7 linked regions of the Canis lupus familiaris genome follow. The protein of the gene in region 6 interacts with the protein of the main gene of each other region in a pairwise test. Links are inferred from orthologs where the notes say so. Each region holds a gene or a part of one and is shown on either strand. Other genes may lie near its edges. The genes, in order: CRACR2A, LMO4, ZGPAT, KRT13, BYSL, TLE5 and NEK6.

Region 1 (3,500 bases), on a different chromosome or scaffold from region 6:
GTGGGGGGCTGAAGCAGTAATGGCACAACTATATACACTTCAACAAGCTGTGAGAAGTGCCAAAAAGGGGTAGTAAAGGATATAAAGAAAGGAGCATAAAAGATCTGGAAATAAAGCATCTTTAGTTAATAATCAGGTGACCTTGGCTGTAGTCCTGACACCAGCCCTTACTGACTGCGACACTAAAGAAAACACTTCAACTCTTCCAGCCTCAGTTTCCTCACCATGGAATGTGGCTCATCTGCCTTGCCTATCTCAGTAATAAGACAATGCATAAAAACAGATGTCTTCACAAAATAGTCCTCAGCAAAATGAGTGAGGAGGTGTTGCTGCTCTGTGAGGAGCCCCCACCACTGGCTCAGAAGCAACTGCCCATTTGTGGATGGGCTTTGGGTAGCAAGGAAGTCAGGCAGGGCCCCTCTACCTGCCTTTCCTACCTTTCTCTTTCAATGACCCTGCTAGTCAGTGTCCGGAATAAGTGGCCTCAGAGGCCTACATGCATATTTGCTTCCAGAAGCATCAAGAACAAGGGAAAGCAGTAGGAGGTAGAGGAAATTGGGCAACCAGATATGAGCCAATGCACAGGCTGTATTTTCAGGTTTTGAGAGCAAAGGCCTCACTTCCTGGCACAGGAAGTCAAGTCTCTGTGAATAAACAGTTAAAGCTGAGAAGGGTTTTAAATGGAAATCTGGCAGGGAGAACCTTAAGTCCAAAAGTGAAACACACATGCACACACACGCATGCAAGGATTAGAAAAAAAAAAAAAAACGGAATGCAAATTAGGTGAGCAGGTGACAGGGCCAAAGGAGAAAGAAGATAGATGAGGGTCACATGATATGAAAAACAGTGAAGCTCCTTTCATTTTGCCCCCTGGCTTATAAAAGTTATTATTCCTAAGAACCAATAATAGGAAGGGAAAAGAAAAAACTGCATGTATCATTGTTCTGAAGTCAAGTGCAACTCTGAAAGATAAGAGAGTGCTTGCTCACAAAAACGGTGACTTAATTTGGGTCCCTTGATACAAAATAAAGAATTTTGTAGCAATTCAGGGACCTTCTCCTTTATTTATAAAATCATAGTTTTTAATAGAAGCTGACTGTCCTCTTTCCAACAAATTTCTTCTATAGTCTAACAAGCCTACTGATGGCTTATCCGCTTTAGAACACAATTAGTATTCCAATCCATTTTCACTCTGCTGACACACACAAGTACACGCATGTGTGCACATGCAATCCAGTGTGCCCATACACACACAGCATGTTGTTTGGAAGGCCTTGCAACCAGAAAAAAAAAATGACTAGGGAAACAGCCCTAAAATGAAGCATTTCTTAGAAAATGCTTTTGATTTGGGAAATTCTCAAACACTACTGACATCCTGTAATACTCTCAGCTTAGCATGACTAAATTCATTTTTGGTTTTGCCACCAACGGCTACGTATGAGCAGCAGACAGTGGTGGTCTCTGCCAAAGTCTGTATTGGAATTTGGGGTGCATGATTTGTTACTTATATGATTACTGTTTCTTTTTCTTTTACTCAACCCTAAGCTCCAGGAAAGCTAGGGTTTAGCTCACCACTCTAGCACAGAGCATAATATCTTGCCCATAGTAGGCACTCAATATGGATATGGCAGGATTCGTGTTTAGTTTTGGAGTCTTCACAGAACTGAAAAGAATGTCGGTTACACAGCAAGCAAGCAGTGAATGTCTATTGAATGAATATATTCAGCGCTGAGCAACCAACAGGCCAACTATTATTGCAAAAACTTGGATCCCAAGTTGTATCCCTTTGCTGAGCTATTTAGAAAAGGAATTGAGGATAATTGGGTCCAAAGATTTGACCAAGGTGCTTGTCAGGGTCTCCAAAGTCACTTCCCTTTTTTGTATTGTGTATTTCATGCTGCTGTCCTCAGGGTCTCCTGGATGAGCAAATTCGTGAACTTTCTCCCTACCTTTGATATTTAGGGGTCTGGTTGCCTTTGCCTTTTTGTGGCTGTCTATGTGGATGGAACACATGCCAAAAAAGAAGAGAGGGCAGAGGACTGGCTTGTCTCTCTCAATGTGCAACGAGCCACTCCTCTCGGGACTCAAACTCGATTATTGTGCTGTCTAATCGCAACCAAAAATGTTATCTGTGAGGTAACATTAAATATGAAGCATTGAGAGGAATGTGTCAAGCACGGGCCCCATTCCTGTGTGCAAAGGAGCTCAACTGTTGGAGACACCATGCCACACTTTAATTACCCTTCAGAGCCAAAATGTCATGTCCCCAAAAAACCAAGTGCATCCATTCTGCTTGACAGAGAGCAGACTATCTTCCAGCCACGTTCCACCTCTCTCCCTTGACACCTTTCATCTCCCTTCTTTCTCTACTCTTCTAATTTCCGGCACCTCTTTGGTTCCTATCTGCAGGCACATACTAGAAGACAATGTCCTGTCCTAGAGATCTGCTCTGCGCAGTCCTCCTGACACCTGGATGTCAGAACAGGAAGGAACATGTCCTCTGAGATTCAAGGGGAGTGAGTGCAACTGGCTCTGGGCTTCCCCACTGGGGCCACTTCTTGAGAGCCAACCTATGCGCTCAGAGCCATCTCCCAGGAGGTGCAAGACAAAGGAACACATAATGAATGAAGAAATCCAGGATGACTTACCTCCTAAGGATCCCTCTGCCATCCACATATTTGCCTATCACAGAGCCAGATCTCTGTTTCCAGTTTGCTTTGGAAGCAGCTGTGTTTGCCTTGGCCGCCTTATCTTTCTGTAGAAACACAAAGTGCCCTCAGATCCACACCTGCTGATTTGCCCTACTGTGGAGCCCCAAAAGGGCTCCACTTCCCCCCTTCACAGGTCAGGTTCTAAACAAAATTCCAAAATTAGAAGTTTTGGTTTTGGCTTCTCAGTACAAGACGACTTTCACTTAGTTTGGTTGGGATCTAAAAAAAAACAAAAAAAAAAAAAAAAAAAACCTGCAACCACTGCCATCCTCCAACACTGCCTTTTATCGCCAGGATCTTGCCAAGTTGTAAGGGAGCTCTTCCACCTGAACAAGTTAGAGACCCACACACCACGCTCTAAAGTACAACTGATTTCTCTGTTGTTCTCTTGCTGTGGGAAACAGCTCTCTGAAAGGCCTTGAGGATCCCACAAAAGCAAAGTACAGCAAAAGCGAAGGCTTTCTTTCTCATTTTGAAAGCTGTTCATATAACCATATCTGGCATAAAGAAAAAAAATAGAACTTACAGCTCACACTGGGCCGTACAATCAGTAGAAAGGCCCCAGCATTGACCCCCTGGTCCTTCCCTGGCACATCTGAAAGCTAGCTCCTCCCGCGAGGCCCCCTATTGGCTTGAATCATTTGCCTGTTTGGTTTGCAGGGTCTCCTCTGCAGGGAGAGTTCTGGAAATTAGTAGCCCTCCCTCAACTGTACTTGGGGTTACATAATTTAAAAAAAAAAATAGACATAGACAGCTATGATAATCAGTGCATGAGAGTATAAAATACTA
Region 2 (4,273 bases), on a different chromosome or scaffold from region 6:
TGTCTAAGCCAGACTCTTCTGCAGGTCCCTTACCTCAATCCAGCAGTACTGTATGTAATACAATATGAAAACTCGTCCCACAAGGCTGGTTTTAACTTAATGATACTTAGCAGAAGGGCTTTGCACTTTCATGATAATTTCCACCAGAAAAATCTCTCTGGAACTTACTAATAATAATCAGACCTAATATTAGCCTCAGATCAGAGATTTATTAAACCTATTTGGCAGAGCAGATAAAGTTGAATGACTAGGTACTCAAGCATCTAGGCTGAGCTCGGGGCCCTGGAAAAAGACTCTCAGGCTAGCAGCACCCTAAAAGCATTCCTCAACAGTTAAATTTATACTAGACGTGACCTTTCTTCCTCCCCAGAGGCTGTGGGATGGTGAATGTTGCCATTCCTTGTTGCTGTCTGGGGGGGGAGGGGGGGGGGGACGGGGGGCTTGAGGAATCGGGCCTCTCCTCCTGCACAGCAGGGGTGGATGGAGGCCGAGCCCTCCTCCCTGAAGTTCCCCTGGACCCCCAAAGTCCGGGCTGTGAGCTCTTCAGCTCCGACTTCGGACGATCCCCTACGAGACGCCCACGGGGCTCTCGGCCGGCGCTCGGGCCCACGCGGGGGACCGGGGCCGGGCGGCCAAGTCCTGCAAGACCTGCGGACTCGGTCCCCACCTCCTCGCTCGCTCAACTTCCCACTAAGGGCTCATCCGTCTCCAACGCCCGCGAATTAAAGGCAGAAAAACAAAACCTCTTCTGCGTGCGAGCGAAGCCCCCCGCCCGGAGGTTTCGGGGAGACTCTTCCTCCCCAACAGGAGGGGACCCATTTTTGAGCAAGACGAGAAGTTTCCTGCGGGGCTCGCGCGGGCGCGCGGGGGGGGGGTCCCCGAGGGGCGCGCGGGTGCGGGTCCCCGCGATCGCCGGCGCGGGCAGGAGCGGCGCCCCCGGCCGCTCCATCCTGCCCCCCGCGGGAGGGGGTTGGGGTCCCGCCGGGGGTCCCGCGAGGGTCCCCGGGGCTCGGCCGCCCACCTGCCCCCGGCCGGGCCGTCTCCGCCCGCCGCCTCCCCCGCTCCCCCGCCCGCGGAGTCTCGTTCCAGTCCTCCCTTTGTCCTGCCCCGGATTGGCAGGTTTTATTATTCCGCCTGAACAACCCGGCCGCCCAGTGGCTGAGGGTCGCTGACGTCGGCGGCAGAGCCGGGGAGTAGTTGGGATTCGGCTCTGTCAGTAACACATGTGTAAGCGCCGCGCAGGGAGCGAGCGAGCCGGCTAGAGGCCAGCGCCGCCGCCGCCGCCGCCTCCTCCGAGCCGGGCGGCCGCCGCAGCAGCAGCAGCCCGGGCAGCGGCGCAGGCTCCAGCGCGCCGGGCCCGGCCGGCCGCAGCTCCCCGGCTCCCGGCCTCCGCGCCGGCCGCCGCCGCTCCGGGGCTCTGGTGCCCGCGGCCGCTCCCCGGCTGGAGGGGCAGGAAGCGCGGCCGAGCGCCCGCCGCCGGCCCCGAGCGAGCGAGCGGGCGAGCGAGCGGGCGGGCGGGCGCGCGGGAGGGAGGAAGGCGGAGGAGGAGGAGGAGGAGGAGGAGCGGGAGGCGCGCGGGCGGGGGCGGGGGCATATACAAAGTGAAGCCACATTGCCAAACTTGCAGCAGCGATTGCAGCAGTTGCTGCCGCTGCGCCGCGCCTGAAGCCGCGCCGCGCGGGCCGCGGGCTCCTGCAGCTGCTCGCGCGGAGCCGGAGCCGGAGGCGGAGGCGGAGGACGACGCGGAGGACTCAGCCTGACACTCCAGCTCCCGGCCGCCTGCCGCTTACGGCGGGGCCCCCCGACCCAGCCTCAGGGCGACGCGTTTAAAAAAAAAAAAAAAAAAAAAAAAAAAAAGCAGCCCTTAGCCCCCTCCTCCCCTTTCCTGCTTCTGCGAGAACATCCCCCCTCCCTCCAGCTCCGCCAGCCAAGGCGCCCCTTCCTTGGAAGCCGAGCGGCTTCGCTCGCTTTTCGCCGCCGCCGCCTCTCGCAGTATTGCAATATAGGGGAAAAGCAGGTAAGGGGACGGCTGGGGAGCCGCGGGCGAGGGGGGGCAGAGGGAGGAGGGGGCCGATGTGGGCCAGGGCTGTTTTCTTTGGCTTCCTTCCCTTGACCGTCCCAAATTGCAAGTAAACAATACGTCGGCTTGGATAATGCGCGAGTCTGAAACTACCGAGGCCGGCCTGCGAGCTAGCACGGAGGGCAGCCGGCCCCGGGCCGCCAGCTTTGTAGCGGTTCCTGCTTACAAAAGGGTTCTTCTTGGAGACGGGGCTGCTGGGGACCTGGGAGGGTGGGGAGGGGTGTGTGTGCGTGTGTGCGTGTGTGTGTGTGTGTGTGTGTGTGTGTGTGTGGTAGTGGGGGGGTATTTTCAGTTCCTAAGGGAAAGGCCGGAGGTGCTTAAATGAGGGTTTAAGTATGAGAAGTAGTGTGGGGGAAATAGTCACGACCCCCCCCCCCAGCCCCCCAGTAAACACTATTTTTGAAACAGTGGCAGAAAGGATCTAAGTGAGCAGGATTCAGTATTGCTGGTTCTTTTCAAAAATTCCTCTTGGCTTATAAGTCTTTTGTTCCAATCCAGGAGAAATCCGGTGAATCACCTAATTAAAATCAAGACATGAATTAAGCATCCATTTTTGTACTACAAATTGCCAGCGCTACGTTTGTCCCTCCCCTGGTCTCCATTAAAAAACACCAGAGACGTTGTTAAAGGGGGGCAGATTTTGCCTCTAGCTGCCAGTTCTGCTTTCTATTTCACTGACTATCCCAGGACCTAAATTGCTTGGCTATGTAATTACTAGAGTATAAGCCTATTTAACTTAAAAGCTTTCTTTTTTTTTTTTTTTTTTTTTTCCAACTCTAAATGAAACTTGATGAGGGCCCGTCCTTAGTTATCAGGGGAGTCAGTTTCTGGTCAGTCCTCTTGATTCATCTCTTTTAGATTTAATCAGCATTAAGGTATTGCTTGTCCTTAAGAGCTTTAGCTAATGGGGTTACTGGATGCTTTTCTCAGTGTAATGTTTCCTTTTCGAAAAAAATATACATATATATTTACCTCTCACCAAAGATGGGGGCGGGGAAGAGCTTGGAATCTCCTCCCTCCCTCTCCCCTTTTAAAAAGGAATTCGGAGCGATTAAAACGTTGGGGGAAACAGTTTAAAGACCTCGGGCAGGAAATGCAGATTCATTTGGGTTAGGGCTGAAATTGTAACAAAAAGCAATTCCTCGAGTAAATGCATCAGATAAATCAATTTACATAAAGGTATGATGCATTCGGATAAATGCAATGCTAATGGGTTTTAGAGTGGTCCTGTTTCCAAAGTCTCAGGGTTTTGTTACAGCTTAATTGGTGCAGTTCTTATTCTGGTTTATTGTGCGGTCACTGGACACACGTTCCGGGACTCTTTCGGAGGAAATGTGTTTAAAATCGGCCTATTTAAGGAACCCGAGTCCTTGTTTCGTTCCCTTCCCCTGGTTGTTTTTTTTTTTTTTTTTTTTTTTTTTTTTTGCAGCAGCCAAGTTGGGCCGGGGACAGGCAAAGTTCGCCCTCTCCCTTCTGAGGTATCAGCTGAATGTCTTGAGCAGATAGCCGGGAGCCTCGGGGGGAGCCTCCACTCTCGGCTTACAGAGGACAAAGACAAAACAGGCTGCTTAATTGGCAGTAAATAACTTGATCTTTTTATAGAATAAGTGACTGGAGGAACACTAGGACTTTATTGGACTCAGGATTGGAGGCAACAAATTAATCGGTTTAGGCTAAGCTTTATAAATTGATTCCTATATTATACCCCAGTTGCTTCTCGTGACATTCATTAGAAAGAGTGGGGAATTTTTTTAAAAGCAGTTTTTGGTGACAGCAGGACTGGCTCGAATATAACTTGTGCATCCCTTAATAGTGCCTTCTCGCATATTATCTGTAACGTCGCCCCCCCCCCCCCCCCACACACACACACTCCCCCCCCTTTGGAGGAACAAAGCTTTAGCATTTAAATTGCTGATCAAGGGCAGATTAGTGAGACCAAAGTGGAGAGTGTTTGTATAGGAAGTTAACAGGCATCCTAAAGTTCAATGATCTATTATTCTTGCCTGTGTCCTGAAAACCCAGAGAAAACACTCATTGATCTTCAAAATGAAATGAGATTTGGAACAATAATGGGAGATGGCGGTCACCACAATGGCATGTGAAAGGTGCTGTTTAAAATACGAAAAACCAGTTTCGCAACTTTACACACCGCACCCCCTCCCTCGCGTCCCCTGCCTCCCCTCCCACCACCTC
Region 3 (4,019 bases), on a different chromosome or scaffold from region 6:
TCCATTGTCCCAACAACTATGAAAGACAACTCTCGTTTGTTTTACAGATAAAGAAATTGAAATACAGACCTTAAGCTATAAAAAATGAACGAAAAAATACTGTATCTCACTAGGAACCAAGGAAACACAAATTCAACCATGATCCCATTTTCCCAGCGCTCAGCAGGCAGGAATCGGCAGTGATAGAGAGGATGAGGGACGAGGCACCGGCCTTCATACGGAAGCGGGAACTCTGCACACTCTCGACACACCGGTCCCATACTAGGGAAATTCTCAGGCAGGTACAGAAGAAGACGCTACTAAGATGTTCACAGCAAGCTGTTTGTAACAGACAAAAACTGGAAAACATCAGAAAGGAACATAATAAAATGTGGCACATTTGTGAGAGAAAAGAACATAGCAGTTAAAACCAATTAAACAGCTCTGGAGATACCAGCACAGATGCCCTCTCACATCCCTGCTTAGTGAAAAAAGCAAGTTGCAAAATAAACCATCCTGTGTGACACCATTTGTTTCAAAAGTAGCACAAAAAGTTACTCTTCTCATATAGGCTCCTGTCTGCGGAGAGCTAACATCTGCTAGAGGTAAACACAAGGGAGTTGTGATCACAGCCTGGGAGGAGAAGGGGCTGTGACACAGCTATTTTTAAAAATACAAAGCAGGGGCGCCTGGGTAGCTCAGTGGGTTACTGAGCTAAGAGCGTCTGCTCAGGTCCTGCTCAGGTCCTGATCTCAGGGTCGGCTCCGAGCTGAGCAGGGAGTTTGCTTGACATTCTCTCCCTCTCTCCTTCTGGCTCTCCCTACACGGAGGGTGCATACTCCCTCCCTCTCTCTCTCACAAATAAATCTTTAAAAAATAAATAAAATAAAAATGCAAAGCAATGCAAGAAAAGCGTTGATCTGTCTGGCAGTGGCAAGTGGCTGTCGTAGGCTGTGCCAGTCGGGCCTATAGCTAACACAACAGAGCAAGGCACAGCAGTTGGGGGCCGAGGCAAAGCTAGCCTGTGCCCGCTGCAGGCTCGCTCGTGCCGCCGTCTGTGCCAGGCAACCTTAGCCGTGGTGGGGCCCACCCCTGGGGCTTGCTGCACGGAGGGGTCAACACACGTGAAACTCCTGGCCCGGAGCCTGGCCTAGAGGAACAGCACACGGACACGTCAGCTCTCATCGTCACAAGGGGCATCACCCGGGCCCGTGGAGGCACCCAGAGGGTAACGGCAGAGAGGACGAGAGGGCTTGCTGGTCTGTTCTCTGACCTGTTTGTTCAGCAGCACATGGATGGGTCTGCTTTGTGAAAACTCCAGTACGTTTCATGATTTACGCACCTTCCCGTACGGGTGCCACACTGTAATCAGACTTACAAGGAAAGAAAGGATTGTGGAAAATCGTGTTAAAGGACGCTCTGGACCCAGCAACGGTCCGTAAGCAAAGACAAAGACCAAAGGACTAGAGAGAGTTTCCCTGGGTTATTGACTCAAAAAGAAAATCATCTGCAAGACTTGGTAAACATTCCTTCCACAGATGGAAGCGATAAGGAGCAAAAGCCGAGTCGGGCATTTTAAGGAAAGAGTGACACCGTTGCCACAGTCGTGTGAATCTCATCATGAACAAGATCCAACTTACGGATTTGTCAGGGATGCGACCCTTGAGCATCGATTGATGAAAGAAAAAAAAAAAAAAGAAACCAGTGACTTCTACGGTTTCCTTTACACGGTGCAGGCAAACAAGAGGAAGACAAAGGAGAGAGCAAACACGAGCCTGGCAAGGAAGGGCTGATCAGCGGCGAAGGGGGCAGCGGGCGGCCCCACGCCGGGCCCTGCGGGGCTGCGACACTGCATTTTGCAAGCTTCCCCCGAAAGAACCAGAGCAGCGAAGGGTGGGGCACCGTGCCTCCCAGGACGGCGCGGCCTACCTGCGCCCCTGCCCCGGACTCACCTGCAGCTGTCCTGGAAGCGGCACTTGCCCTCCAGGAAGAAGGGGCAGGGCTTCAGGGACTTGTGCGTGGGGTAGAGGTAGAGCACCCGCACGCCCGCAGAGCCGTCGCGCGCCGCCTCGGTGCCCACGATCATGGCGTTGTGGTACTCCAGCGTGCCCCAGGAGCTGTAGTACGGCGCGTTCACCTTGCGGCCGCTCAGCGCCTCCTCCTCGTCGCCGTCCTCGTCGCCGGCCCGCTCCTCCTCCCCCTGCCCGGGCCCGCTGGGTGCCGGCTCGGGCTGGCGCTCGCGCTCGGGAGCCGTGTCCGGCGCGGCCCCGGGGGCTGCGGGCGCTGCGGGCCCCGCCTGCTGGGAGCCCCGGCTGTCGGCGTCGCCCGGGGCCGCGCGCTCCCCGTCCAGCGCGGCCAGCAGCTTGCTCTTCCGGACGGACACCAGGCTGGCCTCGGTGAGCTCGATGAGCTCCTGGAGGTCGCCGCGCAGCTGCCGCAGGTCGGCCAGCTCCGAGGGCTCCAGGCCGGCGCCCAGCGCCAGCTCCACCTGCTGCAGCTGCGCGTCATAGGTGTGCAGCGCGGCCTGCAGGCTCTCCTCGTCCATCCTGCGGCCCGGCGGGCGGCGCGGCTGCAACGACGGGGAGCCGCTGAGCGCCGCGCCGCCCCCCGCCCCGCCCCGCCCCCGCCGCGGCCCGGCCCGCTCCGCCCGCCCCGTCGCCTCGGGCCCCGGCCCCGTCGCCCCAGACCGCGCCCCCTCGCCCGGGCCGGGCCCCGCCTCCGCGCGGGCTCCGGGCCGCCGCCATAGAGCCCCGCCGGCCTCACCGGCTAGAGCGGCCGGCGCCCCCGCCTCCGCCCTCGCAGCCCACCGGCACTTCCTCCCGGGCGCCGCCGCCGCCGGAAGTGCCTCGCGCGGGGGACGCCGGGACGCGGCGCGCGGGGAGCGTCGGGACGGCCCCTCCCCCCCGCGGCCTGCGTCCCGTCGGGCGCCGCGCGAGGTCAGCGCGGGGTCGGCGCGGGTCGGCGAGGTCAGGCGCGGGCGGCTCCGCGGCCCCGACGGGCGCCAGGTAGCGCGGGCCGGTCGCCCCGGGGCGGGGGGGGCGGGGCGGGGCCTCGGGGGCCGCACCCGCCGTCGGGCCGCGACGCCCGCCGGCCGCCGCCTCGCAGCCCGGCTTCGGGGGGGGGGGTTCGGACGCCGCCAGGGGCTCCCGCTGCGCGGCCGCCGGGCACCTGCTGGGGCGGGGGCGTCGTCAGCCCGGGGAGCCTGACGTCACGGCGGGCCTTCGGGGGCGGGGGCGCGGGGGGAGGGGGAGGGGAGGGGGGGGAGGGGAGCGCCCCGGCTCCCAGCCCGCCGCGACCGCCGCCTCCGCTGCGCAGGCAGGATGTACACGCTGCTGTCCGGCCTCTACAAGTACATGTTCCAGAAGGACGAGTACTGCGTCCTGATCCTGGGGCTGGACAATGCGGGCAAGACGGTGGGTGCCCGCCCCCGGCCCTCCCCCTCCGGGCGGCCCCGCCCGCCCCCACGCGCCCCCCGCCCGCCCGGGACGGACACCGGACACCGGGGAAGCCGCCCTCACCTCCCGCGCGCGTCTCTTCGCAGACGTTCCTGGAACAGTCGAAAACCCGCTTTAACAAGAACTACAAGGGAATGAGTCTCTCCAAGATCACGACCACCGTGGGTCTCAACAGTAAGGCCCCCCCCCCCCCCCCCGGGGCGGAGGGCTTGGGGGGCCGCCCGGGCCGCCTCGGGGAGCCCAGAGCCGCCCGTCCCTGGCCTGGCCGGGAGGCGGCGCGTGGCAGCGGGTCCCCAGCCTGTGCTGTCCTCTGTCCTCTCCCCGCAGTCGGCACTGTGGACGTGGGAAAGGCTCGCCTCATGTTTTGGGACCTGGGGGGCCAGGAAGAGCTGCAGTCGCTGTGGGACAAGGTAAGCCGGCCGTGCCCAGGCCGCCCCTCGCACCGCTTCCTCCAGGGACACCCCCGGCCCAGCCTCCCCTCAGCTCCGTCCCCCACTGTGTCCCTGAGGCTCCCCCCAGCCCTGTCCCAGCTCCCCCGTTGCCCCCACCCTCGAGAGCGAGGACCTGCCAGTTCCCTTTTAACTC
Region 4 (4,170 bases), on a different chromosome or scaffold from region 6:
GCCCGGCTTTCTGGTGGGACAACAAAGAAGTGATGAGGGGAGCCAGGCCAGGCAGAGAGGGCAAGAGGTGGCAGCCACTGGGCAGGGGGCAGCAGGTGTACCATGCTGAGCTGGGACTGCAGCTCGATCTCCAGGCCCTGGAGCGTACGCCTGAGCTCCGTGATCTCTGTCTTGCTGGTCTGAATCATGGCAGTGTTAGTAGACACTTCCTTGTTCAGCTCTGCACTCTGAAATTAGAGCAGGAAGAAGGTTAGAGAGGAGCCCAATGGGACGCCCCAGCATCCCCCAGCTCCACAAAGTAAGAAGGCCGGGTACCTTGCTGTGGAACCATTCCTCGGCGTCCCGTCGGTTCTTCTCCGCCATGGCCTCGTACTGCTCCCTCATCTCTGCCAGCACACGGGTCAGGTCAATGCCCGGGGTGGCATCCATCTCCACGTTGACCTGGCCTACCATCTGGTTGCTGAACTCCTTCATCTCCTATAGGGATGGAAGTAGGAGATGTGTGAAGCTCCTCATCCCCCCTCTTCTTGGCTCTGAGGGCTACCAGCATGTGCTGAGAAGCGCTTCCAGGTCCCACAGCAGAGAGCTAAATCTGGCTGCTCCCCTTTATCACTGGAAGCATTTCAGCCATGGAAGGCCCCTGCCAGCCCTCACCTCCTCATGGTTCTTCTTCAGGTAGGCTAGCTCCTCATTCAGGCTCTCAATTTGCATCTCCAGATCGGTCTTGGACAGGGTCAGCTCGTCCAGCACCCGGCGCAGGCCATTGATGTCGGCCTCCACGCTCTGGCGCAGGGTCAGCTCGTTCTCATACCTAAAGAATATTTTTTAATTGGAAAAGCAACACAGAAATTATATTAGACACTCCCCTACTTCTGCACTGGACTCCACTACTTCTCCAAGACCTTCACTCCCAGGATGCTCCGATTTCACCACTGAGACGAGCATTTGTCTCAAATAAAAGAGTTTGAAAAGGCCAGCGAGGAAAATGAACTCACTTGAGCCTGAAGTCGTCTGCCGCCAGCCTGGCGTTGTCAATCTCCAGAATGACCCGGTTATTGTCGATGGTGGCCGCCAGGATCTGCAAAATACAGAAGGTGGGTACTGGAGGGTCCACAAGCTTGGGGAGGAGGAAGAGAAAACACAGGCAAGACTGTTGTCCAAAACTGCCTCAGCACCTGTCCCTGTGAGCTGGGATAAGGCCCTTCTCTCTGGGCCCTGGTAAAGTGAGGGGCGGGGCAGGTCCTTCCTCGGGCTCTGTCACTCGGGCATTCTGTGTCCGGCCGTGATGGGGAAGGTGGGAATGTACATTTCAGAGGAATGACCCTGCCCAGGGTATCTTTGGTTAGTCATGTCTTGAAAGCCTCAGACTAGCCATCTCTCTAGTTTATCATCATGACAGCCTATTCCTTAAGGTGGGGGTGAGGGGTCAGCCTGGGTCCACACAGCTCATAGGAGGCTCACTGGAGCTGGCCTCCGGGCTGAGCAGAAGGAAGAGCCAATACATATTCCCATCCATTTGAATTTCTTGTCTAAACTCTCATATTCTGAAGCGGTTAAAATCTACCACACATAGCTGGGACCCAGCCCAGGCAGGTGGATTTCCGTTCCAACAAGCTGGGACCCCAGTGTGACAGACAAGCCGTGATGAAGGAATCTCAGCTCCGCTTAACCCAGCCTAAGCCTCTGCCTCCACCTCCCACACCTCACAGCCACTTGAGAATAACAGTGTGAATGGGGCCCCTACAAAAGCAACTAATATTCCCAGACCAATGAGTGAACACATATCCCTTTCTCTGACGATTTTAGTCATGGTTTCCAAACCGCTCAGTGGGTTGGAATTATAGGGATCAAGTTGTTAATAACATAACTGTTTGGAAAGCAGTAAAAATGTTGATATGAGTAATAACAGCAGTAAAAATGGACAATGGGAAAGAACTCATTTGGGGAGCGGTGGCATAAGAAAGCTTATCAGGAGTAGAGACTCTCAGTAGTAAAAGACTAGAATTTTCCTCCACAGGCGAGGTGAGGATCCCACCACACAATGTCCTCTGGTCCTGTGGGATACCGTGTTCCCTGGCCTCTGCAGCTCTGCCCAGCTTGGAAGAAAGCTCGCCAACATCCAAGGGCTCACCTTGTCCCGGAGCTCCTCGATGGTCTTGTAGTAGGGGCTGTAGTCCCGCTCCGGGCTGCTGGGGCTCTGCTTCAGGTGCCAGTCTCGGATCTTCACCTCCAGCTCGGTGTTGGCCTCCTCCAGGGCACGCACCTTGTCCAGGTAGGAGGCCAGGCGGTCGTTGAGGTTCTGCATGGTGATCTTCTCATTGCCAGAGAGGAGGCCGCCATCGCCACCACCGTAGTCACCAAAGCCGCCGCCAAAACCCCCACCAAAGCCACCTCCGAAGCCACCTCCGAAGCCACCTCCGAAGCCTCCGCCGAAACCACTACCAGCCCCTCCACCGAAGCCACCCCCAAAACCACTACCAGCACCCCCACCGAAGCCGCAGCTCATGCCACCCCCGTATCCCCCAGCTGATCCCCCAGAGACAAAGCGGGTTGAGCAAGTAGAGATACTGCGGCCTCCTCCCAGCTGACAAGAGCCACCCCCGAAACCACCTCCATAGCTGGCAGAGGAGCCCTGCAGGCGACAGCTCATGGTGAGAGCAAGATGAGGAGCAGGTGTGGACGGGAGCTGGGCTTGGCCTGGGCCGAAGACTGTGGCTCTTCCCCAGAGTGGGAGCCTTTTATACTGCCCTCCACAAGGTTGGACAATTGCCCCATCTTCTCTCCTCCCTTCCCCACCCTCTGACTGGTGCCAACTGCACTTCTGTTTCCCACAAGCCCAGTTACCTCTGCTCTCCAAGGTGGGTTGTGCCTTTGGGGGTGGCTTTTTTTTTTTAAATCCTTAACAAAAGGGATGATTCAGAGGGAACAGTGCTCTGCCTGAGACTACCCTTTTGACAGCTGAATTCCATTTCACGTCTGCACTTAGGGAGCTCACTCCACAGGCTCTCAGCTCCACCCTGCACTAGAATGGGGACGGAGCTGCAAGGTAGCCCTGTGCTTTACAAAGTCACCGCAGCTCTCAGCTCCCTTCTTTCTATTTCTAAAACTTCGGACTAGAATGTTCTGCATCCTTGTTAGCATTTCACCTACTCCAGTGCTCCCAGCGACTATGACGACGAACTTCGCTTGGTCCTAGAGGATCGACTACCTTGAAGGTATTTAGGCTGGGGGGAAGAAAAGCTCCAGGACTAATGTAGATCCTACTAGCCGCCCCATTTTACACATGGGAAGTCGAGACTTTAAGGGTAGTCAGGACTGAAAAACCCAAGTCTGGTTCTATCTGATACAAAGGCTCCTTTTTTAGGTATATAATTCATACAGTAGATTGCACAAACCATTAGTGTCTAGCTTAACACATTTTTACCTACGTAGGAAGCTTCAAGCATGTGTTCACCTGTGTACCCTTCACCCGGACCATTTTCAGCGCTCCATAAAGCTCCCCATACCTTTTCCCAGTCAATTACCCACACCCTATGCACCTAATGAGACCACAATCCCACTTCTGTCCCCATCAGTTAATTCAGAGATCTCAGCGAGGGGCTCTTTTTGCTCCCTGGAGAACATTTGACAATGTCCGCAGACATTTCAGTCGTCCAAACACGGGGATTCTACTAGTATCTAGAGCACAATTACCAGGGATGCTGCTAAATATCCTACAATGCAGAGGACAGCCCCCATAACAAAGAATCCTCTAGCCCAAAAGGTCAATAGTGTGTGTCGAGGTTGAGAAGCCCTGGATCAGTCTGACCTCTGTATTCAATCATACCATCATACCAGCTGCCTTAGAGGCAGAGTCAAATCCAGAAAGAAAGTCTTTTTTTTTTTTTTTAGATTTTTTTTTTTTATTTATTCATGAGAGACACACAGAGAGACGCAGAGACACAGGCAGAGGGAGAAGCATCGCTCCAAAGGGACTCTGATGCTGGACTCGATCCCAAAACCCCAGACCACACTCTGAGCTGAAGGCAGGTGCCCCTGGAAAGGAAGTCTTATATAATGCCTAACAGGGCTCTTTCTAGAACCCTGATCACAGGACATCTGTCTCAGCTTGTGAGCATTTGATCAAGAGGCCATATAGGAGGATGCAACCCACTCGCCGAGGGGGCCAGG
Region 5 (3,983 bases), on a different chromosome or scaffold from region 6:
AGGAATAACCAGGACAAAAGCCCTAAGTTAGTATGTTTAAGGAAAAATAAAGCCTGTATGGATGAAGAGAGTAAGGGGAAAGTAGTAGAGGAGGTCAGATTGGCAACAGGGGCAGATCATGGAGGTCTTTTAAGTCATCCAATTATTGTGAGTGGACTGTAAGGGTGACTGTATGCTAATTAGGAAGCTACTAAAAATAATCCAGGTGAGAGATTATGGTGGTTCAAATAGGACTGTGTTCCAAGGTGATGAGATGTGGTCTGACTCTGATTTATTTATTTATTTATTTATTTATTTATTTATTTATTTATTTATTTATTCATTCATTCATTCATTCATTCATTCATGAGAGAGAGAGAGAGAGAGAGAGAGAGAGAGAGAGACACAGGCAGAGAGAGAAGCAGGCTCCATGCAGGGAGCCTGACGTGGGACTCGATCCCGGGTCTCCAGGATCAGGCCCTGGGCTGAAAGCGGTGCTAAATCACTGAGCCACCCGGGCTGCCCGACTCTGATCTATTTTGAAGATACGAGTCAACAAGATTTCCTAACATATCAAATGTGGAATAAGAAAGAAATCCAAGGCTTGCCTTGATCAAATGGAAGGATAGCATCCTATTAACTGAGCTGATAGTGGGAGGAGCAGGTTTGGCGAGAAGATCAGGATTTCTGTTTTGGACACATTAAATTTGAGATCTCTTGGGACGCCTGGGTGGCTCAGCGGTTGAGCGTTTGCCTTCAGCTCAGGGAGGGATCCCAGAGTTCTGGGATCAAGTCCGGCATCGGGCTCCCTGTGAGGAGCCGGCTTCTCCCTCTGCCTATGTCTCTGCCTTCTCTCTGTGTCTTTTATGAAAAAATAAATAAAATCTTAAAAAAAATAAATTTAAGACGTCTATTAGATTTCAAATTGGGGATGTCAAAAAGGCAGCTAAAATAGAAGAATCTGATTTTCATGGAAGAGATCAGGGCAAGAATACAAGGGTGGGAACAGTTACCAAATAGATGGTACTTAAACCGTGAAATGGATGACAGCACCAGAGAAGAGATATGAAAAGAAGAGGTCCAAGAACCAAACTTGTGGCATATCAATGATAAAAGGCTGGGGACAAAAGAGCCAGCAAAAGATGCTGAGAGGTGAAGAAGTACTAAAACAGGAATGGGATGGCTCAGAAGCCAAGTAAAGATACCGAACCCAGGAGGCCAGTGTTTAATTGTGTCAAACACTGCTCTCAGGACAAATGAAAGATGTGACCTGAGAAATGTATTAAGTGACCCGGAGGTCAACACTTACACCCTAAAAAATTAAAAAAAAAAAAGACCATCTTTTTATTAGTCTCTCTCCCTCTTTATAGCACCTAAACAATATCGTTCATTCTGCTTAGAGCTCTCTCTCCACTAGTTTTCAGCACCAAAGTCATGTAACCTAGGAACCCTGACCCCCAAAACTAATGCTCTTGTTTTAAGATGAAACTATACTTAAAAAAAAAAAAAAAGATTTTCATTTATTTATTTACAAGAAACACACAGAGAGAGGCAGAGGCATAGGCAGAGGGAGAAGCAGGCTCCCCGCTGGGATCCCGACGCGGGACTCCATCCCAGGACCCCGCGATCCTGCCCAGAGCCCAAGGCAGATGCTCAACCACTGAGACACCCAGGTGTCCCAAAACTATACTTTCATCATGAAATGTATTATTCGAATCGTCAATTTAATTGTCTCTCAGGTTAGACTGTAAGATCTTGAAGTCAGGGTCATGGCTATCTTGCTTCCTTTTTTACTCAAAACCATCTAAACTCCTACCTAGCACAGTGCAAAGTACGGACTAGACAACCTACAAGAATGTACAGAACAGATGGATAAACGTTAGGAGTGCTCAATAGTGTGACCAATTAACTTCTTGTTGGTCTAACTTAGAGACTGCCTAGACGCAAGCATCTAAAGCAACAAGTGGGCATAGAGAGCTCTGACCACCCTGAATCTATTCCAGGGCTGGGTCTCCCATTTCATCACCTTTGCAAGGGTGTGATGCGGACTCCTTATTCAATTTCACTTTTTTTATTCCAAAGGATTCCCCTGGCAGAACCTTTTGGCCGTCTATCTACTTCCCCCTCCCTCCAAAACTAACCACCCTCTTCCTGGCACCCCCCTCCCCCACTTACCCAGACGCGTGGTGCGCTCGCGCGGGGCTGCGGCCTTGTTCCCAGTCCCATGCTCGGTCTCGAGTTCCTCCTGTTGCTGCCGCGCTTGCTGCAAAATCCGTCGGGTCAGCCGGGGCCCCACATACTCTTCGTCCTCCTCTCTGGTCCCACGACCCCGCCGCTTCTCCCGGGGCCCTGCCCGCGCCGCGTCCCCAGCCAGGATTTGCTCAGCCAGCGGCGCATGTTTTTCCTGGCCTGCAGCTCCGCGAGCCGGCTTGAATTTGGGCATTTTTTTCCAGAACTCTGCCAGAAAGGTTTACACGTGGGGTACAGACGAGGAAAAAAAAAAAAAAAAGCCTTGAGCGCACTTGCGCCGTGAAGTCCCAGCTCCCAAGAGGCCCCCGCGGAGCTCACAGCGCCTCCCGGCGTCCGGAGGCCGGGAAGGCCATCAGCGCCGCCACACCCCGTAAGAGCGGGGCCTGGAGCCAGCCGGTCCCCGAATGAACTCACTGCTTCTAACGCTGGCTTCTGCAAGTGGTGGCAGTCCGAGCGGTGGTTTTCTACTTTCATAGATCGAGGACCTCTGTTCCCAGCCAAACGTGGACTTGCCTAGCTGCAAAGCCGGGGCCAGAGTTGGGTAGTGACGTCACTGGAGGCGTCACCGAGGAGATGCCTAGACCTGCCCCTGTTCCTCGTGGGCGCGTCGACTGGACGCTCTCCTTTTGCGTCATTTCCGGAGCACCTCCCTCGGCCGAAGCTTTCGTTAGGGGTCTTCACTTAGTGTGGGCGGCCAGAGACTACTGTGATCCGATTGTTTGTTCCTGCCATCCTCCTGGCCCGATACCATGGGAGTGACTTGGTAGGCCCGCAGGGGACTTTTTTGGGCGGCGCTCGGGGTCGGGAAGGGCCCCGGAGCCCGGAGTGTACCGGGAGGAGGGCCGGGACCAGGGACCGCGGTCCCCCATGAGCTGATGAAGATAAGATATCTTCGGAACGTGTGGGTGATGGAGACGCTGCGAGGGCTGCAGATTCTCCGCGCTTGTTTGCTCGGAGACACTTCCCTTCGTCCTGAAAGGCGGCAGGTGAAAGGTTTTGTCCCAGGAGCCCATCAGTGGTTGTGTTCCTCCTTCCCAGGAGGCCATAGGGCTGCCCGAGGTGGAAATTAAGGATGCCCGAACTAGGACCCAATCTACAGGCGTAGCTAGAGGAGGTAAAGGATAGGCAACGAGGAAACCGTCTTTTTTTAAAGATTTTCTCCTGCCCCTCCCTACAGCCACTTAATGCAGTTAGACCGGCCCGTGTCTGGTTCTGGTGCGGCCGTCTTAAGATTTTCGGTCTAGAGGGAAAAAAAAAAAAAAAATAAGCAGCAGCAGCTGTTGGGAGGTAGATTGGGGTTTAGGCACGTCACCTCTTCAGAATTCGTTTCCTACTATGTTTAATTGTATGGTTGGTGTAACTAATTACTATGGACTTTTAATCTCTCAACATGATATAAGTGGGGTGGCAGAGAAAGGTATGGGCCTAATGCTCTTGGAGAAAATGCTAGATTTTAGGGATTGTTTTGTTTTGAGTACCGGTAAGTATTAGCACGTTTCTAGTTAGGGCTGGAGCCTGTGGGAACCACTCTTTTTTTAAAAAAAAATTTTAATTTATTTATGATAGTCACACACACACACAGAGAGAGAGAGAGAGAGAGAGGCAGAGAGAGGCAGAGAGACATAGGCAGAGGGAGAAGCAGGCTCCATGCGGGGAGCCCGACGTGGGATTCGATCCTGGGTCTCCAGGATTGCACCCTGGGCCAAAGGCAGGCGCTAAACTGCTGCACCACCCAGGGATCCCTGGAGCTAGTC
Region 6 (2,870 bases):
CCTGGGGGGGCAGCCGGAGGCCTCTTGATAGCCTTCCTTGGGGTTCCCCTGGGTGGTCCAGCTGGGGCGTGGCAGGGACGCCTTGGACAGGTCCTCGGAGGGTCTGGTTCAGCTGGGGGGGGGGCGCTGTGTGTTCTCTGATCTGGCCAAATGGGCAGAGTGGGGATGCAGTGGGCGTGGGTCCTGCGGGCTCAAAGTCTGGTGTCTAAGGGAAAAGAATGGCACCGAGGAGCCCTCTGGCCTGGGGATGGGAAGCCGGGTCAGCTCCGCTTCAGGCCCCTGGGCCGGGCTGTGTGACCCAGAGCCTCCAGCTGCCCCTCCGGTCTGGGCATCAGTTCGGGAGACAGACTACAGGGACAGGCCGGACCCCCCACCCCCACGGGGACTCTCCGGATCCGGCCCGTCAGGAGGAGGGAGCTCAGACACGAGGGAAGCCCCCTCCTCCCCTGGGAAGGGGGGCACCGCGGCAGCCCACAACACAGAGGCAGGAACAAGGCAACCAACCTTCTCACATCTTTATTTGAAAGGCACAGCTAAGCCCACCCTCGGTACAGCAGTCTCCCTTCTCTCCGCAGCGATCAAACGACTCTACACAACAAAAGCTGACAAGTCTAAAAGGCTATATACAGACACAGGTGTGGGTGTTGCTTGTTTTTTTAAAACATTTTTCTGTCCTTTTTTTCTTTTTTTTTTTTAAATATCCCTTTTCTTAAAAGACAAGCTAGTGTACTGGAAAAAGGAAAAAAATAAAATAAAAACCAAGACAACTTGAGTACCCTCATCTTTATTGGGGAAGGGGAGAAAGGGAATTCTGGGACGCCCGCCCGCCCCCACCCCTGCGCCTGGCTAGGCTCCCTCTCTCCGCCCCCTCTCCTGCAGGGGAGAGGAGCGGTGGGCGTGGGCTCTGGAACTAGCCTTGCGGAGGAGGAGGGGAGTGAGGGGGGAGGGACGCGGGGTGCCCAGGGCGGGAAGGGGCAGCTAGCGTGGTGTTTGCATGCAGTGCCAGGGTGGGAGGCTGGGGGCGCGCCCTGAGGGGCCCGGCGGGCGCGGGCGGGGAGGTGCGGGGGTGCTGGGCTTCTGGAGGCTCTGCTGTCTTCGGGCCTGGCCTCCCCTGTGCGCCTCCAGGCCTCAGCTTACCTCCCGGGTGGAATGGGCAGGTATTGGCCCACTCCGGCTGCAGGGGGGGCGGGGAGGAGGGGAGAGGGAGGAGGAGGAGGGAGGCTGGAGCCGGGGGTGTGAGAAGCTAGGGGTGGCACACAGGCAGGGCTAGGACCCCAGCAGGCGGCTACCATAAATACTACCGAGTTCAGCCAATCCCGAGCTACACTGTGTCTTGCGCTAAATGTTCCTCTCTCCATGTCTGTGTCCCCTCGCCCCCCCACCCTCCCCACCCCGCCACCCGCTAATCCGACTTCTCGCCGTCATCCTCCTGGTGGGTGTCACCGTCGTGCCCGTTCTTGTCTTCCTTGGAGAGATGGGCCTGGGAGCCCAGCGCAGACAGCGAGAGGAGGCCGGTGCCGGCACTGACGGCGGGCAGCGAGGGTGGCTGCAGCCCCACGGGCAGTGGGGTCAGGGGCAGGGCCAGGGCCTGCAGCTGGGACAGCTGATGGGCTTGGAGCTGCTGCTGCAGGGCAGACGGAGGGAAGCATTAGCTGCCTGGGGCCCCTGCCCACCCAAGGCCCACCCAAGGCCACCCAAAGCCCAGACGTACTCGGATGATGGAGTTCAGCTCGGGAGCGGTGACCTGCTTAGCCCTCTCGATGGCTCCCAAGACCTGCTGCTGGTGCTGGAAGGGGGATGGGGTAGAGACAGAGGAGCCAGGTGCTGTGCCCCGATCTCTGTGCAGGTTTGGGGCACAGAGCCCAAGAGGAGCCACCCTCCCTGCCCCCGAAAAACCCCTCCCTCCAGCCGCTTCTGTTCACCAAGCCCCAGTCTCTTCCTCTGGAAAATGGGGACAAATGACAGATTCAAGAAGACCCAAGGGGATTGGTGCCAGATACTGAAGAAAATGCCATTAGGGGAGTCTGAGAGAAACCCCGGACCATGACCTATTCAATGCCATGTGCAAAGGAGTCAATGAACAGTGCACAACCTGGCCAACCATACAGAGAAGACCTGATCCTAAGAGCCTGCAGCCTGTGCCTCTGAGATCTGCTAATCCAAGATCCTCTCCTTGCACAACTGGGGAAGGCCCAGTGGATTCTGGGTTCAGGGCAATCCCTCCCACACCCGAGCACTCCCTGAAAGTCTGTTTCTCCTGCCAGTTTCCCTTTTTGCCTTGCCTACCAAGAAGTTCCTGTCATGAAAGGAAAGCACAAGTCTAGGTCTATCAGAGCCCCAAGAACCCCCTTCTCTAGGGTTTTCATAGTATCCTTCTGGAATTGTCTCTGGGCAAGCAGGTTACCCAAAGGGCCCCAAGACATGGTCAGGAATCCAAGAGGAAATGATAAATTATGGACAGGAAGCCTGGCAGAGGGCAGGAATGGCTCCGGTGATGGAATGGGCCTCACACCAACGGTCTTAAAACCCCAAAAAGCCGGGATGCCTGGTTGGCTCAATGGTTGAGCATCTGCCATTGGCTCAGGTGGTGACCCTGGGGTCCCAGGGTCGAGTCCCACATTGGGCTCCCCGCAGGGAGCCTGCTTTTCTCTCTGCCTGTGTCTCTCAGGAATAAATAAATAAAATCTTAAAAAACAAAAAACAAAAAGCCAAAGCAAGAGCTCAGTGCGTGGTTCCCCGGGGTGCGTGTCCACGCGTCCCTGCGTTCATGTGCGTGCAGACCTGTGTCTGCAGGTGCGCGTGCGAGCCTCATCTATCTGTGTTGAGCCCGTGCACGCCTGCCTCTGTGTGCACGTGTGTGTGCAAGTGCC
Region 7 (4,274 bases), on a different chromosome or scaffold from region 6:
CAGCCCTTTCTATCTGACAGTCCTGGCCCTAGGCATGGGTCATCCACCGCCGAGGGGCAAGAGTAGACAAGGAAGGAGGGCAGCACTTCTGGGAAGACGTCTCCCAGAAGCCCAGAGCCTGGTGAGGAACCTGGCCCCGCAAGAACCTGGAACACAGTGACCTTTACTTTCTACGTCCAATGGAAAGATGGAGGGCTCTGCTCAGACAAGCCTGACTTCAACCGCACAGCATCCTGTGATCTTTGGCACATGATTTCATCTGTGTCCCCAGTTTTCTCATCTGTAAAATGGGCACCATGATAGTTCTGTCTCTGTGCTGCCGGGTGGACTGGGTGAATTTAGGTACTTACAGCTTTCGTGCCTGGCATATGGGATGCCCTCAACAAATGGTGGCCATTAGTTGTGATGCTACTTTCATAAAATTATGCCTCGTATTCCATCTCTCTGAGCCTCAGTTAGGTCATCTGTAAAATGGAGATGACAACCCCCAACCTCATGGGGAAGATGAAATGAGTAGATGTGTGTGAAAGCACCGAGCACCCAGCCTGTGCACCTTCAGAAGACAAGTTATCAGGCCCCTGGTGTGGAGGGCAGACTGGAAGTCAGGGAGGTGACAGGATTCTGCCTCTACCTCCTCTCAGCAGTCCCAAGACACAGGGTTGACAGAGACACAGGTCTCTGTGTCTCTGCGCCCACAACTACTAGGAGGATTAAAAGTGCACACAGTAGGTGCTCCGTAAGCATGACTTCCCCTGCCCTTCCCCTGCCCCCTCCTCGCTCAAAGCCACTGGAAACGTCACCTGGCAAAGCCAGGAGCTTCGATTCTTGAAACCCGAATGATCTGAAATGGCTCAGAGCCCAGACCAACCTGGGCCACTGCTTCAGTCTGAGACTTTATTTTCTGAAGACAGAAACTACTTTTAGTCATTTCCGAAGCAGACAGGACGGCAGAGGCTGACAAACCACAGGGACCATTTTAAATCCTGGGCCTTTTCTTCTGGGAAGTTAGGCAAGAACCTTCCCAAATGTTTGCCCGTGGGGCTCTCTGCCAGGGAGTGACTCATCCACAGCTCCCCACAGGCATATTTTATTTGGGGAGTGGGGGATGGAGGGAGGGCCTGGCCTTGAGGGGAGAAGAAGAGGCAGCCTTTCCAGCAAACCCAGAAGGTGGGTTGGGTTTTGTTTTGTTTTGTTTTTTTCATTTCTTTTTAGGACAAAAAAGAAAAAGAATGTGGATCTTTTTTGTTTCCTTCCAGGTTTTGTTTGCTAAAAGAAGACGTCCAAAGTTCACTCAGTAAGCTGCTGCGTTGGGAACAGGCGCCTCCAGCCGCTCTGCATCCCTTTCAATGAAATTCTTCTTCCATTAACACCACGATTTTTAAATGTGCCTCCAAGATCTGCCTGCGCACGACATTTTCTCCTCAGAAAGTCTAGCTGAGTTTTGAAAATTCAGGGGGACGAGGGAGTTCAGTGTTTCTGAAGTTGCCCTTAAAGCAATCGAGACTTTTTTTTAAGATTTGTTTATTTGTTTGTTTACTTATTTATTTATATGAGAGACACAGAGAGAGAGAGGCAGAGACACAGGCAGAGGGAGAAGCAGGCTCCATGCACCGGGAGCCCGACGCGGGACTCGATCCCGGGACTCCAGGATCGCGCCCTGGGCCAAAGGCAGGCGCCAAACTGCTGAGCCACCCAGGGATCCCCAATTAAGCCTTCTGACTGCAGAGATTTTCAACATTTCTAAAGCTCCCCCCAAAACTGTGTCAAAGCTGCGCAGACAGACCTTGGAAATCAGTGTCCCAAGCCTGCTGTGATCAATTTGTTACTGTCTTGGGGGCTCATGCTTGGAGCCCAGGCTCAACAAGTAAATAAGTCAGATGAATACGCATCTAGTCGACAGAGCAGGCAGAGACAGGGCGAGAGACCCTCAGATACACAGACAAGTGTCCTGGCACCCCTGGCCTTCCCAGGGTCACCGTCCCCCATCCCCACCCCCCAAGGCCCGCGGGAAAGATGAAAATCTGCCCGGGCCAGAGACCGGAAGAAGAGGAGCCAAGGGACCCAGAGGGGGGTGTTCAGGAAGAACTGAGGCCGCGTCCTCTAGCAGCAGGCCGAGGAGCCCTGCCCGCCGCAGCAGAGCCGCAGCCCAGCCTGAGCATCCTGGGGCCCCACCGAGGCCCGGCAAGGAGGCCTCCCCGTCTGCGGGGCCCAGCCTGGCTCTGCGGGTCTGACCTCCGCCCCCCTTCGGCGCGCGAGGCCCCGCACCCGCCGGGAGCCCACCCCGGGCCTAGTTCCCTCCGCGGGCTCCCTGGCACCCGGGAGGGAGCCGCCTGGTGGGTGCAAGGAGGTGCCCGCCCGCGTGCGTGAGAAACGCATTCACACCCTCCCGGACGCAGGGTGCATGTTCGCGTGCACGGACACGTACACTTTTGTCCTCAAAGGCTCCCAAACGCGCCCAGAAGTCACTCGTGAGCACTCGCGCACGTGCACACACGCACGCCCGGAGCCTGGAGCACGGCTCCCCATCCCCACGGCACGGGCCCCGCGAGCGCTCGGCCCCGCGGGAGCCCCGCCGCGCCCCAGCCCGCCCGCGGCCCCGCACGCCACCGGCCGGGCCCCCGCGACGCGCGCGCCCCCGCCCCCGCCCGGCCCGGTTCCGCCCGGCCCGGCCCGGCCCCAGGCCACTCACCGGCGCGCGGGCGGCTCGGCTGCCTCGGAGGAGCGGCGCGCGGGCGGCCGGAGCGGAGCGGGGCGGAGCGGGGCGGAGCGGAGGGTCCCACACTCGCGGCCGCACGCCCGTCCGCCCGGTTCCGCCGCCGCCTGCGCGGGCCCGCGCGCTCCCGCCCCTCCCCGCCGCGGGCCCGCGCGCTCCCGCCCCTCCCCGCCGCGGGCCCGCGCCGCCCCCTGCGCTCGCTCCCGCGCGGCCGCCACGCTGGCCCGTGGGCGCCCCGGGGAGACCGCAAGGCGCCCGGAGCCCCCGGGGCCGCGAGACGTCCGCGCAGCCCAGGCGCCCCCTCCCCGTTCCAAAGATGGGGAGACTGAGGCCCAGACCCTGCCGGCGAGTCGGCGCCAGCAGACCCCCCTTCACCCCTAGTCCCCGGGCTCTAGACGCTCAGGGCTGGGGTCCGCACTCAGCGAACCGGGGACCCGCCCCCGCATCCCTGGGTACCCCCCGACGCGGCCCCCTCCACGGCCCTGCGCACCCTGGGTAGCCAATCAGCTCTTATTGCGCGCCTACTGGATGCGGCGCACGTTTAGGAGGAAGCTCCAAGGGCATCTCCGCCTGCTGAAGGTGCTGCCCCCTGCCCTCAAAGCGCCAGCGTCTCCTTATATGGAGCTCCCCAATGCCTGTGAACCCCGAGATAGGGAGAGTCGAGGTGCAAAGGTTTCCGGGAGAAGGCCCTACTGAGTGGGTAACACCCTCTCTAAGGAGACAGAGTCTCCATGGGGCCCCGAAGGCTGCAGCTGGCCTCCTAAGGGAACCTGCGCGCCCCCTTCCCCCAAGAAGGGCTCCGGGCCGGCTCGCTCAGCTCCCGCCTCCTGCATCGGCCGCTGCTCCTCCACAGGCAGGACCGTGCGGTGTCCCCCCAGGACGCCTGGAACCAGGAACTGACACTGACCACCTGCCGGCTGTCCAGCTTAGTGACAGCACCGTGCCGAGCCCGCAGAGGACCCCCCGGCGCTCCACCTGGCTGCGACCTGTGACAGTAACGACACCCGTAGGACCCCCGCCAGGTGTCATACTCACAACCGCACAGCCATTCTGCGAAGGAGGCGTTATGCCACTTTCATGCCCGTTTTACAGATAAGATAAATGAGGTTTAGAACAGAAGCTGAGAGAGCCCAGTTCTCTTGCTCAAAGTCACCCAGTTGGTAAGGGTTGAGCAGGGAGCTAGACCACAGCACAGACTAACTCCAGTGCCCAGTCTCGGCAGTCCCACCTCATAAACAACATAGCTCTGGACTGCTGGTATAAGAGGGCACGGGGGACAGCTGGCACAGACGGCCCAGCCCAGTCCCAGCCTTGCCGTGAACCAGCAGGGACAGAACAGGTCATTCTACACGTTGGTTAGCGGTTTGGTCGGGGACCTACTTACAGTCTCACTTCACATGATACGCATCACAACAGATATCAGATAGATTGAAGAGGTAACTCCAAGAAATAAGCGTTTCAGAAAGTGATAGAAATAAATAGAAGTTCTGAGACAGTGTGTTGCAGTGTTGCTGGCAGGCCAATGATTAGGGACCGTATCAATGCAGTAAACATTAATTTC

What was found.
Region 1: the proteins of TLE5 (region 6) and CRACR2A interact in binary tests that used the Homo sapiens proteins (3 or more experiments, as listed by UniProt). The two-hybrid records come from large-scale screens. The link is inferred for Canis lupus familiaris from reciprocal best matches to the Homo sapiens genes TLE5 and CRACR2A.
Region 2: the proteins of TLE5 (region 6) and LMO4 interact in binary tests that used the Homo sapiens proteins (3 or more experiments, as listed by UniProt). The two-hybrid records come from large-scale screens. The link is inferred for Canis lupus familiaris from reciprocal best matches to the Homo sapiens genes TLE5 and LMO4.
Region 3: the proteins of TLE5 (region 6) and ZGPAT interact in binary tests that used the Homo sapiens proteins (3 or more experiments, as listed by UniProt). The two-hybrid records come from large-scale screens. The link is inferred for Canis lupus familiaris from reciprocal best matches to the Homo sapiens genes TLE5 and ZGPAT.
Region 4: the proteins of TLE5 (region 6) and KRT13 interact in a two-hybrid assay, tested with the Homo sapiens proteins (2 studies listed by BioGRID and IntAct). The two-hybrid records come from large-scale screens. The link is inferred for Canis lupus familiaris from reciprocal best matches to the Homo sapiens genes TLE5 and KRT13.
Region 5: the proteins of TLE5 (region 6) and BYSL interact in binary tests that used the Homo sapiens proteins (3 or more experiments, as listed by UniProt). The two-hybrid records come from large-scale screens. The link is inferred for Canis lupus familiaris from reciprocal best matches to the Homo sapiens genes TLE5 and BYSL.
Region 7: the proteins of TLE5 (region 6) and NEK6 interact in binary tests that used the Homo sapiens proteins (3 or more experiments, as listed by UniProt). The two-hybrid records come from large-scale screens. The link is inferred for Canis lupus familiaris from reciprocal best matches to the Homo sapiens genes TLE5 and NEK6.

Annotation. Positions count from the first base shown.
Region 1 is NC_049248.1:4,848,759-4,852,258, forward strand, and holds part of CRACR2A (EF-hand calcium-binding domain-containing protein 4B), read right to left. Parts: intron 2,756-3,500; coding exon 2,649-2,755; intron 1-2,648.
Region 2 is NC_049227.1:61,435,912-61,440,184, reverse strand, and holds the start of LMO4 (LIM domain transcription factor LMO4), read left to right. Parts: upstream 1-1,473; 5' UTR 1,474-2,017; intron 2,018-4,093; exon of another isoform or gene 4,094-4,185; intron 4,186-4,273. UniProt on the Homo sapiens protein: Transcription cofactor. Plays a role in establishing motor neuron identity, in concert with MNX1, acting, at least in part, to disrupt LDB1-LHX3 complexes thereby negatively modulating interneuron genes in motor neurons.
Region 3 is NC_049245.1:48,102,663-48,106,681, reverse strand, and holds the start of ZGPAT (zinc finger CCCH-type with G patch domain-containing protein), read right to left. Parts: upstream 2,801-4,019; 5' UTR 2,743-2,800; intron 2,549-2,742; 5' UTR 2,525-2,548; coding exon 1,932-2,524; intron 1-1,931. Other genes in the region: ARFRP1 (ADP-ribosylation factor-related protein 1), read left to right, coding at 3,300-3,392, 3,521-3,608, 3,762-3,844. UniProt on the Homo sapiens protein: Transcription repressor that specifically binds the 5'-GGAG[GA]A[GA]A-3' consensus sequence. Represses transcription by recruiting the chromatin multiprotein complex NuRD to target promoters.
Region 4 is NC_049230.1:21,136,624-21,140,793, reverse strand, and holds the start of KRT13 (keratin, type I cytoskeletal 13), read right to left. Parts: upstream 2,801-4,170; 5' UTR 2,651-2,800; coding exon 2,132-2,650; intron 1,079-2,131; coding exon 996-1,078; intron 812-995; coding exon 655-811; intron 478-654; coding exon 316-477; intron 228-315; coding exon 102-227; intron 11-101; coding exon 1-10.
Region 5 is NC_049233.1:10,768,326-10,772,308, reverse strand, and holds the start of BYSL (bystin), read right to left. Parts: upstream 2,801-3,983; 5' UTR 2,644-2,800; exon of another isoform or gene 2,437-2,643; 5' UTR 2,423-2,436; coding exon 2,155-2,422; intron 1-2,154. Other genes in the region: MED20 (mediator of RNA polymerase II transcription subunit 20), read left to right, coding at 2,979-2,992. UniProt on the Homo sapiens protein: Required for processing of 20S pre-rRNA precursor and biogenesis of 40S ribosomal subunits. May be required for trophinin-dependent regulation of cell adhesion during implantation of human embryos.
Region 6 is NC_049241.1:56,593,515-56,596,384, reverse strand, and holds the end of TLE5 (TLE family member 5), read right to left. Parts: intron 1,787-2,870; coding exon 1,712-1,786; intron 1,625-1,711; coding exon 1,403-1,624; 3' UTR 501-1,402; downstream 1-500. UniProt on the Homo sapiens protein: Transcriptional corepressor. Acts as a dominant repressor towards other family members. Inhibits NF-kappa-B-regulated gene expression. May be required for the initiation and maintenance of the differentiated state.
Region 7 is NC_049230.1:58,759,089-58,763,362, forward strand, and holds the start of NEK6 (serine/threonine-protein kinase Nek6), read right to left. Parts: upstream 2,801-4,274; 5' UTR 2,690-2,800; intron 1-2,689. UniProt on the Homo sapiens protein: Protein kinase which plays an important role in mitotic cell cycle progression. Required for chromosome segregation at metaphase-anaphase transition, robust mitotic spindle formation and cytokinesis.